Linked DNA regions of Struthio camelus. Each later gene encodes a partner of the first gene's protein in a complex. Links are inferred from orthologs where the notes say so. Each region holds a gene or a part of one and is shown on either strand. Other genes may lie near its edges.

Region 1 (8,055 bases):
TGGTGCCCCCCCATGTGGGTGCCCCCCTCCATGAATCCCCTCCCTATGGGTGCCATCCATGTGGGTGCCCTCCATCAGTGCCCCCTATGTGGGTGCCCCCTGTGCGGGTGCTGGCCTTGGGTGCCCCCCACCCCGGGGTGCCCCGCACCTGCAGGAAGCGCAGCGCCGGCAAGTCCTGGCTGGGGGGGTCCAGGGGGGTCCCCGCCACCCCCGGCCCCCGGCTCCCTCGAGGCGGCCGCCCCCCGTGGGCCCTCGCCCGCCGTAGCCCTGCCAGGCACCCACCATGTGGCACCTGGGACACCGAGGACCCTGGAGACCCCACACATCGGGGACCCTGGGGACCCGCACCCTGGGGACACCGTGGACCCTGGGGACCCGCACCCTGGGGACGCCAGGGACATAGGCACCAGGGGACCCCCACACTCCAGGGACACTGCGGATGGCACCCTGCACCCTGGGGACACTGGGGACATGGGCACCCAGGGGACGCCAGGGACACAGCACCCGGGGACACCAGGGATCCCCACACCCGGGGACACTGGGGACAGGACCCTGCACCCTGGGGACACCAGGGACATGGGCACCCAGGGGACGCCAGGGACACAGCACCTGGGTACACCGGGGACCCCCACACCCTGAGAACATGGCACTCGGGGACACCTGCACCCAGGGACACCACGGACACGGGCATCTCGGGGACACCATGGACAAGGGCACCCAGGGGACACCAACACCCTGGGGACACAAGGGACATGGGCACCCTGTGGAAACAGCACCCAGGGGACACTGGTACCCACAGGACACAAAGGACACGGGCACCCTGGGGACACTGGGATCCCCAGCCACCCAGAGGGGTACCCTGGAGGTATGGGGCACCCATGGGCCTGGCAGGGGGGCTCAGGGATGGGGGTGGCTCGTGCCGAGGGGTCCCCGCGTCCCTCCGCATCCCCCTGCGTCCCCCCGGGCCCTACCGAGGAAGGCCAGGCAGGCGAGGAGGAGGAGGAGGAGGCCACCGGCACTCCAGAGCCACAGGGCACCTGCGGGCCCCGTGCGGCCGGCCGCTGGGGGCAGAGGCCACGGTGACACCGGCCCCGGCCATTGACCTGGGGAAAGGACCCAGGTGTCCGGGCCCTCCCCCCCAATCCAGCAGGGGACCCAGGCGTCCGGGATGAGGTGTCCTCCCTTAGCAGGCTGAGACCCCCCGCCCAGGGCAGCCCTGGGGCTGGCATCACCATGGGTCCCCCATGGGTCCCCCAGGCTCGCCATGGGTCCCCTGGTCACCCTATGGGTTCCATAACCCCCCATGGGTCCCACAACCTCCCATGGGCTCCCCAGCCACAGATGGGTCCCCCAGTTCCCCCATGGGTCCCTGATCTCTCTTTGACTCTCCCCACTTCCCTGTGGGTCCCAGGGCCACCCATGGGTCCCCCAGAACCCCATGGGCTCCATAGCCCCTCCATGGGTCCCAGGGCCACCCACTCCCTATAGGTCCCCTAATCCTCCCATAGGTCCCAGGGATACCCTTTGGTCCTCTCGTCCCCCCCATAGGACCCAGACCCCCCCATGGCTCCCTGGGTCACCTCATGGGTCTCAGGGACACCATGGGTCCCATGGCCCCCTTGGGTCTCAGGGCCTCCCATGGGTCTCACAGCCCCCCTTGGGTCCCCTGGTCACCTCATGGGTCCCCCAACCCCCATGGCTCCCCCAACTCCCCCAATCATGAGTCCCATGGCCACCCATGGGTCCCACAGCCCCGCCATGGGTACCCTGGTCACCCCATGGGTCCCACAGCCCACCCTACTCCCCCAAGAGGGTCCCATCCAGCCCTTCCAGCTCCCCTAAGACCCGATGCCGCCCCAGCACCCCAGTTCCCCCTGACACCTAGGACCCCCCGATGCTCCCCAGCACCCACCGGTGCCCGGGGCCGGCCGGGGCGCCCCCGACCCCAGCCCGCTGGCGTTGCTGTTGCAGAGGTGGCCGTGGCAGAGGCAGACGAGGACGGTGCCGCCGGGGGTGCCGGCGGGGCTGGGGGCGCAGGCGGGCGAGGGGCAGCCGGCCCCCCCGGCGCCCCAGCAGCCTGGGGACCTCTGCCGCTGTCACCGGCATCCCGGCACCCCCCGGACCCCCGCGGCGGGCACGGGGCCAGCTCGCCTTTCGCTACTTTTTCAAGGTCCCCGGCGAAGCGGCTCGGCCAAGGTCAAGCACAGCCGAGCGCAGGAGCTGAGCCGGGACCCAGGCGTCCGGCCCCCCCCCCCCGAACCCTGCATCCATCCCCAGCCCCTTCTCACCCCCCCAGGGCAGGATGAGACCCAGGGTCCTGCTCCAGCCCCTTCTCACACCCCCCAGGGCAGGATGAGACCCAGGGTCCTGCTCCAGCCCCACCTCACCCCCCCCCAGGGCAGGATGAGACCCAGGGTCCTGCTCCAGCCCCTTCTCACCCCCCCCCAGGGCAGGATGAGACCCAGGGTGCTGCTCCAGCCCCACCTCACCCCCCCCAGGGCAGGATGAGACCCAGGGTCCTGCTCCAGCCCCACCTCACCCCCCACCCCAGGGCAGCATGAGACCAGGGTCCTGCTCCAGCCCCATCTCATCTCCCCAGGGCAGGATGAGACCCAGGGTCCTGCCCCAGCCCCTTCTTGCCCCCCAGGGCAGGATGAGCCCCAGCCCCGTCTCACCTCTCCCCCCCCACCCCAGGGCAGGATGAGACCCAGGGCCCAGGCGTCCGGGCCTCACCTTGCACGAGCGCGTGGCTCTGGTTCCAGATGCCGATGCAGCACTGCCGGGGGGGGCAGCGGACGGTGCGGCGGGCCGGGCCCCCCGCGCCCCCCAGGCTGCCCCGCACGCTGGGGTGCTTGTAGGAGACGCAGCTGAGATTGCGGCTCCGGGCGCCTGCGGGTGACACCGAGTGCGGGCGAGGGTGGCAGCGGCTCCCGTCACCCCGCTCCCTCCGCGAGGGTCCCCGCGGCGGTGCTGGCGGCAGGGGGCCCCGGCACCCACCTGGTGGCCCCGGCGCCAGCCCCATGGGTGCCTCCAGCTCCGGCACCTGGCGCGGGTGCCCGGCCGCCCCCGCGGCGGGGAAGGACTTGGCAGGACGCGTGCGGGGGCCGGGGCCGCCTGGAAGAGAAATGGACCCTGGAGGGAGGCAGCCCCCGGAGAGAGGAAGAGGAGGAGGAGGAGGAAGGCGCGGGCTGCCCCCGCGCCGGGGAGGAGAGAGGGGCAGGGTGCCCCGGGTGGGGGGAACAGCGCTTGAATCTCAACCCCCCGGCGCCTGGACCCCCTGGGGGCACGGGTGGACCCGTAGCGGGGTGCCGGGTTCCCCCCACCCCCTTCCCCGCCTCGGTTTCCCCAGGCGCTCGGGGTGCCGGGTGCCTCGGTTTCCCCAGCCGATAACGGCAGACGGATAACGCTGCCGCTTTCGGGCCCGCCGCGCGTTTTCTTACCCCCAACCCCTCTCCCTCACCCCCCCCCCCAAAAAAAAATTAAAAAGCCGTCATCCGTTTACAAAGGAGCCAAAAACTACGTTTAATCTAGTCTTTTGTACAAAAAAATAGCACTTTGAAAACGTGTTTCGGACATCAGTACATCAGCCACTGGATTTAAAAAAAAAAAAAAACAAAAAAAAACCCAAAAGCGCGGACGTTATTACAAGGTAAAACAGTCTTTAGGCGGATCGAGAATTATTGCCAGTGTCGGGGCGGCGCGGGCGGGCTCGGGCGCCCCGGGGCCGCTCTCGCCCCCCAGCCCGCCCAGCCGCGGGCTGCTCTTCGGGTTTAAGGGGCGACGGTGGATTAAAGCTCGGAGATATGTGAAGCCAGAAACACCCGTCCCGTCCCGGGCGGGTAGAAAAGGAGCCGAAGCCGGAGCACCCCCCCCCCCTTTCCCCCCCGCTTTTATTCGCCCGGATATCAAGGCACGTTTTTGCTCCCTGCGATGGCTCTGGACGATGGAGCCGTTTCGGCAGGGGGATGGCGGGGCCCGCGGAGTAGGGCCGGAGCCCGGGGGCGGCCCTGCTCCGCCGTCGTGTCCCCGAATCCTCTGTCCCCCCGCTTCCCGCCAGGCGAAACGCCTCGGACAACTCCTCCCGGCTGCGTTTCCATAGGAAAATTAAAACTCCGTCGGTTAAAATACCGAAGGGATGATGGGGGGGGGGGGGGGGCCACGGCGCCGGGGCTGCAGAGCTGGCATTGGGGGGGCGTGGGAAATTTAACCCGAAACACCCGAACGGCCCCCAAATCCTCGCAGCTCCGGGGCAGGCGCGGCGCCAGGGTTTGGCACTTGATTCCTGGCTCAGCCTCCGCGGGAAGGTGGGCTGGGAGGGAGCAGAGCAGGCGAGCGGGCGACGCTCCCCTCCGGGCACAGGGGGGCTCGGCGGCGGCTCCGCCGGGACCCCGACAAGGCAGCGTTACCGGGGGGGGGGGGTTAAAAACAAAACAAAACAAAACAAAACCCAACAACAACAACAAAAAACCCCATGATTAAATTAAAAAATACTGCTTTCTATCAATTTCTCTGCAGCTTCCAGTATCGAGGGGGAGGACACGGACAGGACGCGCCAGGGGGATTCATAGTGCTTCACAGATTATTAAAATACAAATGCTTAAAGTTTCCTATATAAAAATATACAAATGCAAAAATATATATCGAGAGAGAGAGAGAGAGAGAGAGAGAGCGAGCGAGCGCAGAAAGGATCAGCCGGAGGAATCGCCACGGTTACTTCCTCCCTCCCTGCAGTTCTGTAAAAACAAGGTAAAACAAAACAAAACAAAACAAAACAAACCCCAAACCACCTTCGCGCTTCACAGTTTGGCCGGGGTCGCTCCGCCGCCGGGTTCAGCCCCAGGGAGCGGGCGGCATGTGGCTGGCGGACGCCTCGCTGTAGCAAAGCATCCGGGGCACCCAGAGCAGCCGGGCAAGGCGCCGGGGCCGCATTCGGGAGCTTCCTCGTGGCTCCAGCGAGACGACACTGCCGCGGAAAACATGCCGGCGCGTCTCGGAGCGAGGACGGGCCCCGGGCAGCTCTCCCTGCTGCCCCGTGGGGCTCACGGCGGCATCTCGGTGCACCACGGGGTGCCCCGATTTGGGTGCCCATGAGGTGGCGGGGCCTCGAGCCGGTTTAACTCCTCTCCAAAGATGTTTGCAGCTAGTCCGAGCCGAGCTGCTCTTTTGGCAACCTTGGCGGAGAGCCTGCGTCTCCCTTCCGGTGGCCCGGCTACGTCAAAGCCCCCTGGGTAGCCGAGCGAATAGAGTGGGAGCACGCGTCTCCGGGAGCGGAGAAAGCCACTGAGGGAACCGTTGGCTCTCCGTCGCCCGGGAAGTTTCCTGGTTATCCTCAGGCAGGAAAAAAAGGAAAAGAAAAAAAAAAAAAAAACTTTGGAGAAAAACATACAGCAGAATCGCCCTCGGTTTTTCTGCCAGGAGGGAGGAAGACACCGCGTGCAGGTGTGAGACGGCGGCCAGAGTTCACCTAACTCTCCCCAGGGCGGCTGTGCTGGCTTTTCCCCCCGCGAGCGTGCGTCCAAACCCCTGCTGAGCTTCCCGGCCGGAGGAGACAAATACAAGGAGTCTGATCTAACCACTGCAAACTCGGTGGGACCTGGAAGACCAAGACGCCCGCGTTGGCCTCCACCGGCTGCCCCCTTCTTTTCTGAATGAGCACCGGGAGCTCAGCAGAACGGTTGAGGTCGGCAGGGACCTCGGGACATCACCTAGTCCGACCCCCTGCTCCAGCCGGCTCACCTCGAGCAGGTTGCGAGGACCCTGTCCAGGCAGTCTCCAAGGACGGAGACTCCATCACCTCTCTGAGCAACCTGCTCCAGAGCTCCGTCGCTGTCAAAAAGCTTTTCTTTATGTTCAGATGAACGCTCAGTTTGTGCCCGTCGCCTCTCGCCCTGTCACTGGGCACTACTGGAAAGAGTCTGGCCCCGTCCTCCAGATACCCTTCTTGACACCCTTCCTTCAGATACTTCAACGCATTGAGAAGATCCTCCCTCGGTCTCCTCCAGGCTGAACAGTCCCAGCTCCTTCAGCCCTTCCTCATATGAGAGATGCTCCTTAATCATCTTAGCAGCCCTTCGCTGGACTCGCTCCAGTAGCTCCGTATCTCTTATACTGGGTGCCCAGCACTGCAGCCAGCGCTCCAGGTGAGCATAGGGGCAGGACCATCTCCCTCGACCTGCTGGCAACACTATTTCCACCTCCAAACTAGGCTCAGTTCAGACATCTGAGATGCGCACCAGGTATTTCTAGGACCAATGGTGCCTGCTCTACTTTCCAGCCGCCCTGGCCACAGCTTTCCAGCAAGGTTTCAGATCTAACCTTTCCGTACGTCTTGCCCGTGGACACCTTTCCGACAGGGCGCTCTCTCATCTCCGGCTCAGACCCGCTTCTGCCTCGTCTCACCCCACCATTTCTGCTTGGAAACAAAAACAGATGTAACGAAAGAGCTCAAGAGCCCCTTCCCATCCGTGCCTCCCTGCCCACCGCCTGCTGTGTCGAGCACCGGGGCAGCTTTCAACGGGTATTTCGGAGGCGCGCTGCACCATCGCCTGATCTCGGAGACTAATTAAAGCCGCCCCATGCGCTCTGCCCACTGGAGACGCTGGCTGCGAGATCCACCGATGAAATCCCCCAAAGGTGGCAGCCGGCAGGGCCGCGGGGCGCCGGCACTCTGGAGCGGAGCCGAGCGCGTCCCGGCCTCCCTGCGTCTCCTTCCTGCCGCGGGCAGGGAGCCTCTCGCCTGTTTACAGCCGGAGGTGGGAGGGCAAAGGGCAGATATTGTCTCGCGACTTGAGCAGGAAGAGGAGGGTGGGGGAGAAAAAGGAAGAGGACGGAGCTGTCTAGCGCTCCCAGTCCTCTCCCATCCCCTTGGTGGGGTGGGAAGAGCTGGGCACCGAAAAGAAGTAGAATTTTCCCCCCATCGTCCCCATCTCCAACACCCCCCCTTTATTTTTTTTGTACAAGCCTGGCAGAAGCAGAGCCGGAAGAGCCACATACAGTAGTGTTGGAAGAAGAAAACCTGCAAGGTGACACCCCGAGCTAACCGGGCCCCGGACGCCCCAAGCCATGCCTCGGCGGACGAGCAGTCGCCGCCGGCCCTGCCTACTGCTTCGCCCTGCTGCCAGGGCAGCCCCACGCATTGCTTTTGCACCTCTGATCGGCCCTGCGGCGGCCAGTAATCTCTTTAAGGTGGAAAAGTAACATCTCCCGCTCGGGAGGCACTGATCTCCCATTTAGGATTATTATTAAGACCAACGAAGGCAGAAAAATAAGTTTGCCTGAGGCCTTGAAGGACCTCCCAACCCGTCTCCAACCGTACCCCAATCATCCCAATGCACGGGGTCCCAGACCCTCTGGTAAATAGCTCGAGTGAACCTGCACAAAATCCTTTACAAATTGATTCCACATGTACAGTTTACGCTCCACCCGCGAGAGTGAGGATTAAAAAAGCCGGAGGAAAAGGATCTTCGCAAAGAAGACCGCTTAAAATAAAGACCAACAGTCCAGTGAAGGGCAGGGAAAGGGCAGCTGTTTTACAAGGGGAAAAAGTAAAACCTCACCCAAATAATTAAAAAGAAATTAAAGAACAACCTAAAAGCAAAGTGTACAAAAAAGACTTGGTTTTTGTTTTTTGTTTAAAGGTTACAATGTAAAATGTAATATAGCATCTGAACGACAGCTCGGGCACTGTCCGAACTGCCCCAGAGGGTCAACCTGTTCCAAGATAAGGCATCAAAGAGACCAAGGCCATGGTCGCAGCAAAATCTCTCCTCTCTCAAACGAACACATTTTATATTTTTATATATATAATAATAATATAGAATCTTTTTTTCTTTTTTTTCCTCCTTTTTTTTTTTTTTTTTTGCTAAAAAGTATTTCAATGATCATATACATTTACCAAGGCATGATGGCATCGAAGGCTAGCTACGGAGGGGCAGACGGATCTCGGGGAGGGAGTGGAGGAAGAGGGTCGGAGTGGGGAAATAATAATAATAAGGACAAGCCAAAATTAAAAAATATATATATAGCTCTGGCCTTCGTGTGTGGTCACCGGGCCCC
Region 2 (7,266 bases), on another chromosome or scaffold:
GGTATCCCTGGAGAGGCAGAGGCTCTGTACAGAGATGAAAGACACAGAAGCCCCTGAGAATTTAGGTGAGACATCACGGGAGGCAGGCAGTAAAATGAGCCTCCTGTTAAGCTCATTCCTGGCTCTGGATGCCCTGGGCCTGACCCAGTCCAAGGTATGGACAGTGGCTAACATGACCGAGAGACCTAGCAGTAGCGGGTGCCAGATGCCAGATGTCTTGGAGACCCTGGAAATGGTCATGTCCACTTCCAGGCCATCCTCAAGGCCAACTGGTGGCTTTGCGAGATGTCTGGGAGCCCAGCTGGGAACAAAGTAGGCATCCAAGTAGGCAGTGAGATCAGCCCAAGCCCTAGACACACTTCTCCCCTGCTAATGTGCCACTAGAGCTGGCTTTGCCGCTGCTTCCCCAGTCAGGCTGGAGAGCACTGGGGCAGCTGGGAGAGGAGAGAGCAGCACAGTAAGGGGGAGTTGTGCATCCCCCCAGAACGGACCGCCAGCCTGGGCTGTGTCACCCCCCCCTCGGTGCTCTCCCTCTGTCCCTGCCAGCAGCTTGGGCACAGGGTAACAGCACCATCTTCAGGCACAGCTCAGCCCCGCTGGCCCCAGCCACAGGGTGCTGCCTGGAAGACATGCTGGGACATAATTGGAAAGGTGCTGGGCCAGGAGTGCCAAGACACCTCCTCTCCCACCTTCCCTGCTAGCACCCCAGGCCGGACCCCCTGGCCCCGGCCACACCGGCCAGCTCCGTGTGGCTGCATACCTGCTCCTGGGACAGCCCTTTTCCCGCTGCCAGCAGCTCGGCTCTCTCCCCGGTGCCTTTCCCCTCTCGGCTGCCCAGGTAGAACAGCAGCAAGGCGAACCGCAGCTCTCCCAGCGACCGCCCCACGTCTGCCTGGAAAACCAGCTTAAACTGCAGCTTGGCCTGGGCCTCCCACTTCACTAGAAAGGAAAATACAAAAAGCGTGAAACAACCCCCTTCATCCGCCCGACTCCTGGAGGCAGGCCTGGAAGGGGCAACAACAGACAAGCACGCAGCTAAGGGAGGGGTTTCAGGGCCAACCACTGTTCCTACACAGCTGTTAACAGCTGGGGATGATAGAAACGGTTCCCCTCCTTGGCTGAGCAGGTTATTCCACAGCACAGTCACCCACGTCCACAGTCATTTCACTGTCCTCTGAACCAGCTGCTGAGCCAAACGAAGACCCTTGGTGGGACAGAGCTGGAGATGTTACTGATATGGGACCTTTTGGTGGCAGAGGAAGGGCAGAGAGCCTGGAAGTCCTGGCTGCTTGCCCTGAGCTGATCAAGTGGAAGCACACTGCAAATTTCCTTCCCCCTTCTCGAGGCAGGACATGGTCAGCAGGGCAGACCCTACAGCCCCAGCTAGCATGGCACAGCCTCGCTCTCCGAATTACTCCGGCAAATTTTCAGAGACAGAAGCCCTCTGGAAATCCCTTCTCCAATTTTAGTCCCTTCAATGGCTCAGGAAAATCCCAGTCATCGCATTGCAGCTTGGTTATCAACACCTGCAGCTGGAACACAGGGCGGCACTCTCCAGATAAGAGCCATATCCTCAGCTGACCAACACCAGCAAGTTTAGCTGAAAATCTAAAACCTTCGAGGGGGAGGAAATAATTTCAAGGCCAGGGAAACAACTGTGATCCTCTTGCTAAGCAGGAGGCCAGATTAAAACCAAGGATTGAACCAGGGAGTCCTCCCTCAAGCACATAACTTCTAATTGAAACAGAACAGAAGTGATGCATGCATTTGATCTACATGGGGGACTTAGGCTATAAAAAATACGTTCAGGTTCCAGGGCTATCAAGCCAGTATTAAGCATAAAATATTGGCATATGTTTTAGGTCGCTGAGATTAGAAAGGTTTACTCCGCAGCAGAACCGCTCAGGTCTGCTTGTCCAATTGTCTCCTCTCTTTTCCCTGGCAGATAGAACTGGTACTGGGTTGCATAGGAAATCCAAAAGATTAAGGCAGAAAGTGAGAAAAGCTCTTACTTTCAGAAAACGGGTACTATAAAAGCCACCAATACCATGGTACTTGTGTTAATCACAGCCAATGACAAAGCATGTTATTGCACACAGGCTGTCATCACTTTTAAAACTGCAGCTGCTTAAAACTATAAATGGAAAGATATTTTAATACACTGATCAACTAATTTTAAAGTGAATCCAACCCCACAAATTTAATTTTTTTGACAGCGTCTCTGAGGCCTATAAAATAACATTTGTCTGCCGGGGCACTGTGCTCAACCCCCTTTCAACATCCTGAGTCTTAGCTCAGGAATTTTACTTTCTTCCATCAGGAAAGCACCCACCTTCCTCCAGATGCAGCACAAGGAACCGATCCTCCCCTGGCTCTGCCAGGTGAGCATGGATGTGTTTCAGGGAGCGGAGGGCACCATGTGCATCCCCTGCCGGACAGATCCCAAAGGTTTCAAGATAGCTTTCGTCCCAGCTGGCACGTTGTCTTAACAGCTTGATGAAGCTACTTTCATAGTGGGTGAGAACACCCACGATTTCCAGGTGCCTCGGGGTCATTCCGTCCTGCTCCATTTTCACCCTGCACACTGGACCTTCCAGCCCCCCAAGTGGCCAAGAGTGAAGGCTAGAGTCAGACCAGCTTACGCCCCTATCTTCAGTGATCACCTGGAGGCATTTTGCTCCTGGGTCAGTCTTGGAAAAGAGGCGAGTAGCAACAGTCATCTTTGATCTTGCCAATGAGCTGGGTCTCACTCTCTCGTGTAGACTTGCATTTTCTCTCTTCCTCTCCTCTTCTTCAAATCCCAGCGCCTTTGAAAGAGGCAGCTCTACTTCATCAGTAGGGGAAATCCGTTCCCCAATGCTCCCTTTTCTTGGCAGTGCTACAGACGGGAGCAACAGCACCAGGCACTGCAAAAGCACCCTGAGAGCAGGCTTCATGTTCCCACTTCAGCTACTCCAAACTCCGTTGTCTTGAGTCGCTCAAATGCATCTCTCAAAACAGTTGTGCGGAAGGGGAGGACTGCATCTCCCTTTTTAAAAAGCAGTGGCCTTGAGTTGACAATGCACAACACACCTCCCTCGAGAAACTCAAAGGCTGTCATGCTCTAAAGGAGGGAGGGATGTTTCAAAGAAACTTTTCTGGTCTATTTTTGGGTTTGCATCTAGTATTGGAAATGTAAAAAAATTAAAGCTGTTTCCCTTTCGTGTAGGGATGCATGTCCTTGACTTCAGATGTTTTTTTAAAGGAGGATGGAAGTCTAGACTTGAATCTTCATGGGGACTGGCACATACTATTCCCATCAGTAATGAAACACTAGGAGGGAAGAATTAGCTAGACTAGGAGGAGTGGGATAAAGACAGATAATGGGAAGAAACTAAGAAGAAGAAGTAGAGAAAGTGCTCCCTCTCTCTCTCTCTCTTCACTGGAAAGCCACCTTGTGCACTGTGCAGTTTAGAGAGGCCACCTTACAGGGTTTTTTAGTACGTCTCTTCCTGAAATTTATGTTGCTTGACATTGCAAAATTACAAGAACACTTTTATATAAAAGAGTACCTTATGGGGTGCAGCTGGAGCCTGATAAATTTGAACACTTAAGATTTGATTAGATCAGGCCTTAGTAAGTCTCACAACACATGTAAATATTATAAGGATTCTCCCTCTATTAGATACCAATACTCACTATAGCATTTGGAATTACTAACGCCACTACCTACTTCACTCCAGGGAAACTCTTCCCTGCCCAAGATACCTTTTTTTGGTATTGGAGGGGAGGGGGGAAATGTACCTTCAAAAAAGTTCCAGCACATGGTCAGACCCTTCTCTGGGTTTCCAGGACTCCTGCAGTTGATTAAGGCTCAGGAACTAGCTATAGGACTCCATCCCAGGCAGGAATAAAGGGCAACAAAGCAAGGGGCTGGTGAACACAGACCTCTCTTCTAAAGGAGCTAGAACAAAAGATATGAACCTGACACACATGAAATTCACACAGGTTGATTCAGACATCAGGTCAGCTCAGCTTAAGAAAAAATGCTTAATACTGCATGAAAGCCAGTGAGAGTTGGAAATCCTCTGAGAGCTGGAAAGCCTCTGCCTGGCTCTTGACTTTGCGTGGCTATGGGTAAAAAGGGATCCGTATCAGGCCAGCAGAAGAGACAAAGGCTTTGATTCTTTGCACCAGACAACAGGCATGTAACTGAAGTGCTCTAGCAGGCACAGCCTCCCTAGGCAGTCACTGAAAAGAGCCAGACATTGGCTAAGAGCAAGTCTGGGGTCAGCCAGCTCAGCCTCTAGCAAAGTGAGGGCACTTTTTGTCCACAGAGTGCCCTAGTATCCAGCGCTAACTGAAACGCATCACTTAAATGAGATGAATCCCAGAAAGGACAGAGAGGAGAAATCTCAGAACTTTTTCCGCTTTTTAATGGGAATCACAAATGATTGTTTGAAAGAAACATTTAGTATAAAACACAGAGGGCTAAAAGCTTGCCAAAACTAATCTACCAGTGGGAGGATGTATACAATAAAAATCATATGCAATGACAGCAGGTGCTTCATAAGCAAACAGACAACATTTTATGAATTACAGCAATAAATTAAGATTTTAATATAACTGCAGTTTCAGTAAAGTCTTTTAACTAAACACCTCCAGAATCTCTGCCATCATCAAAGATGATGACAGCACCAACAAATTATTAAAAACTTTTGTTTGCAAACCCAAGCTTGGCATAAACAGGCTAGTGAGCACCGGGAAGGAGCTAGACAGCTGCATATCAGAGAAGGATGATTGTCTTTTTAGACTTCTCAATGAAACCTTGTCTGGCACTTTTCAAGGACTCTTGAGAACCAGTCCAAACTAATTCCTCAGTAAAGATGCTTCTATGCTTTTAGCTGGCAACACCTGAGCTACCGTAGAGTGCTCTGACACTGGCAGAACAAAAGAGGTTTCTGAAGCTGCACAACCAATGCATTTCTGACTCACTGTAACTCAGCAGGGACACAGACAAAACTGCATTTAGAAACTTCTACTTGCCCTACGTTCTGTCCACCAATGGGATTACTGGTACTACAGTCATAAAATAAAATAAAATCCTTTTAGGTGAGTCTATGAAGAGTCTCCCAGTCCCTGAATGAACTGCTTGACAAAGAATGTAGATGAATATCAACTGACTAACTGGCTGGTTATTTACGGGACACACGTCAAGCAATCTAAAATGGAGAAATACGTTGCGCTAACACAACTGAATTGTTAATAAATTGTTAATATAGTTACCTCAGAAGTGAGTGAAGAGCCTAGAGGTCTGCAATCATTTTTCTCCTGTTTGGATAATTTCCAACACATTACCAGACTGAAAATGTTTTCATATATTTAAAGGCTAAAGAAAGTGAACACACAGCAACACTTTTAGCCAAGACACAGGAAAACAGAGAGCGCAAAGCTGAAAACCTTTTAATGAACCTACAGGATATAGTCAAAATCACAGGCATATAAAACAGAAACATTTGTCTGAATCAGTTCTAACGTGCGTATAAAAAGACGCGAGCCAAAGAAGTCCAGTGGGACTGAGTCCAGGAGGGGCTTCAGTTGGAGGGAGGTGGAGGGGGGATAGTGCCTGGCCCCTCGGTGGGGAGAGGTGGTCTCATCATGGGTGGCAGAGGAGCAGGAGGAGGTACACCAGGTGCTGGTGGCAGCTGAGGTGGTACTGGCGGTGGTGGCACTGGTCCAGAGGGAGGCATAGGTGGCAGAGTCATGCCTCCTGGAGGAGGAGGTGGCATGGAGTCTGGCAGAGGTGGCCTTGGGGGCAAGCCATTCATCAGCGGAGGTGGAGGAGGCCGCTTCACAGTTGGGGGCCCTGGAGGGAGGTTTGGGGGAGCTGGGGGCTTCTCCATTTTGAAGTGGAATTGAAGGAAGAACTGCGGCGGGAGAAACAAAGAGGAGGGAACAATCACGCCTCGGGACAACTCTGGAACACCACACAACGCAGCCGCTCTGCCCATTCTGTCTCTGCCTCAAGGAACAAAAACTCGTTTTTTTTCCTCAACTATCACCTTCACAGATCACAGCTGGCTTTCTACCCTGACAGCGTTCAGGGCTTTCACCAGTCTTGCCCGGTATTTTAACTCCTCTGAAACTTGTTCCAAGTGCTATCAGTGATGGGGTCAGCGTCCCCTACCTATGCATTGGTGCCCTGTCCCCACATATGATACCTAGTGGGTAAACACACACTACAAGCTCACCACAGATACCTAGCTTGACAGTGAGAAGACTGAAATTACTTCTTTATGTTCCATATAGGAATTCAATTCTGCAGCAGCTGTACAAGCTTTGCCTTAAACACTGCACTTCTAAATCCACCCTGCCCCGTGAGAAACTTAAGGGACAAAGAGGTCTTGGAAGTTATATCTCGGTGACCTAGTCAAATCTCAGTTTCTTTGTTGAAACTATGAGTAAGAGGGACATCTCAAACAAAATGCAGAAGTTGCTCAGCAGGTCAACACTGTCTCCATTCAATACCAGCAGCCAAAGAAACTCATTTCACCTATCCCAAAAGGAGTCACTACGCAGTTACACTGAAAGAGTCAAGATTTTAGCATCAAAGCCAGCGACACCACGGATGTGTTCTCTTCCTGCATTGCCTTTTTCCCCAAGCTGCTCTGCCCTCCTGAGCTCTCTTCTATCCCTGAGAAAGAAGCTGTAATGCTCCAGCTACCTGTTTGGTTTCTCTGTTCCAATGGGTCCAAAATTTTCCTTCTGCTTTGTCGATTTCTCTGCTTGGCACCTGCATCAAGAAAGAATAAGGAGCTATTATTAGCACCGCCAGATTAGCTCAATGGCCCTTTTTAGCAATAGAGCCTGCAAGATAAGCACAGTTATTCCAGGCCTTTGTGAGATGTGCTAGTCTCGGATGTTATTAGATAGAGAGGGGGGCAGGAAAGAATTAAGTTACTTTCCTATCGGTCAAGGACAAGTGTGCTGGCAAAAACATCTGCACAAAGGCTGAGGAGCAAAGCCCAGAAGGCTCCTTTCTGTGCCAGACACCGAGAATTCAATGGCTCCCCAGAGCTCAGCATACAGCCTAGTTTTCATGCCAGAGTCCTCCACCAATTCTCAGTGGGGTTTAATGACTTCCAGTCATCTCTTCTTGACCCCCTCCCCCCATTCCACTCTATTAACCCCACAAAGGCTAGAATAGAGCAAGTCTGCTGCTCACTGGGAATTAATGTCTTGGAAAATGTAGGCGGGAACTCTCTCCATAATCAGTTAATCTCAAAT

The links.
Region 2: the proteins of AMHR2 (region 1) and AMH are in contact, whole or in part, in a crystal structure (PDB 7L0J), measured with the Homo sapiens proteins. The link is inferred for Struthio camelus from reciprocal best matches to the Homo sapiens genes AMHR2 and AMH. Residues at the interface, in NP_065434.1 of Homo sapiens: Gly31, Val32, Arg33, Gly34, Ser35, Thr36, Thr38, Leu39, Phe62, Ile64, Glu75, Met76, Arg80, Asp81, Ser82, Glu84, Pro85, Ser95, Arg97, Ala98, Pro100, Ser101, Leu106, Thr108; in NP_000470.3 of Homo sapiens: Leu471, Arg472, Glu474, Val477, Leu478, Ile479, Pro480, Glu481, Thr482, Tyr483, Gln484, Lys534, Leu535, Ile537, Leu539, Glu542, Arg543, Ile544, Ser545, Ala546.

The regions. Positions count from the first base shown.
Region 1 is NC_090969.1:3,345,032-3,353,086, forward strand, and holds the start of AMHR2 (anti-Muellerian hormone type-2 receptor), read right to left. Parts: upstream 3,061-8,055; 5' UTR 3,023-3,060; coding exon 2,998-3,022; intron 2,890-2,997; coding exon 2,734-2,889; intron 2,078-2,733; coding exon 1,882-2,077; intron 1,179-1,881; coding exon 1,156-1,178; intron 1,038-1,155; coding exon 972-1,037; intron 268-971; coding exon 149-267; intron 1-148. UniProt on the Homo sapiens protein: On ligand binding, forms a receptor complex consisting of two type II and two type I transmembrane serine/threonine kinases.
Region 2 is NC_090967.1:3,455,080-3,462,345, reverse strand, and holds the start of AMH (muellerian-inhibiting factor), read right to left. Parts: upstream 3,027-7,266; 5' UTR 2,937-3,026; coding exon 2,333-2,936; intron 940-2,332; coding exon 761-939; intron 25-760; coding exon 1-24. Other genes in the region: SF3A2 (splicing factor 3A subunit 2), read right to left, coding at 5,574-5,906, 6,704-6,772. UniProt on the Homo sapiens protein: Plays an important role in several reproductive functions. Induces Muellerian duct regression during male fetal sexual differentiation. Also plays a role in Leydig cell differentiation and function.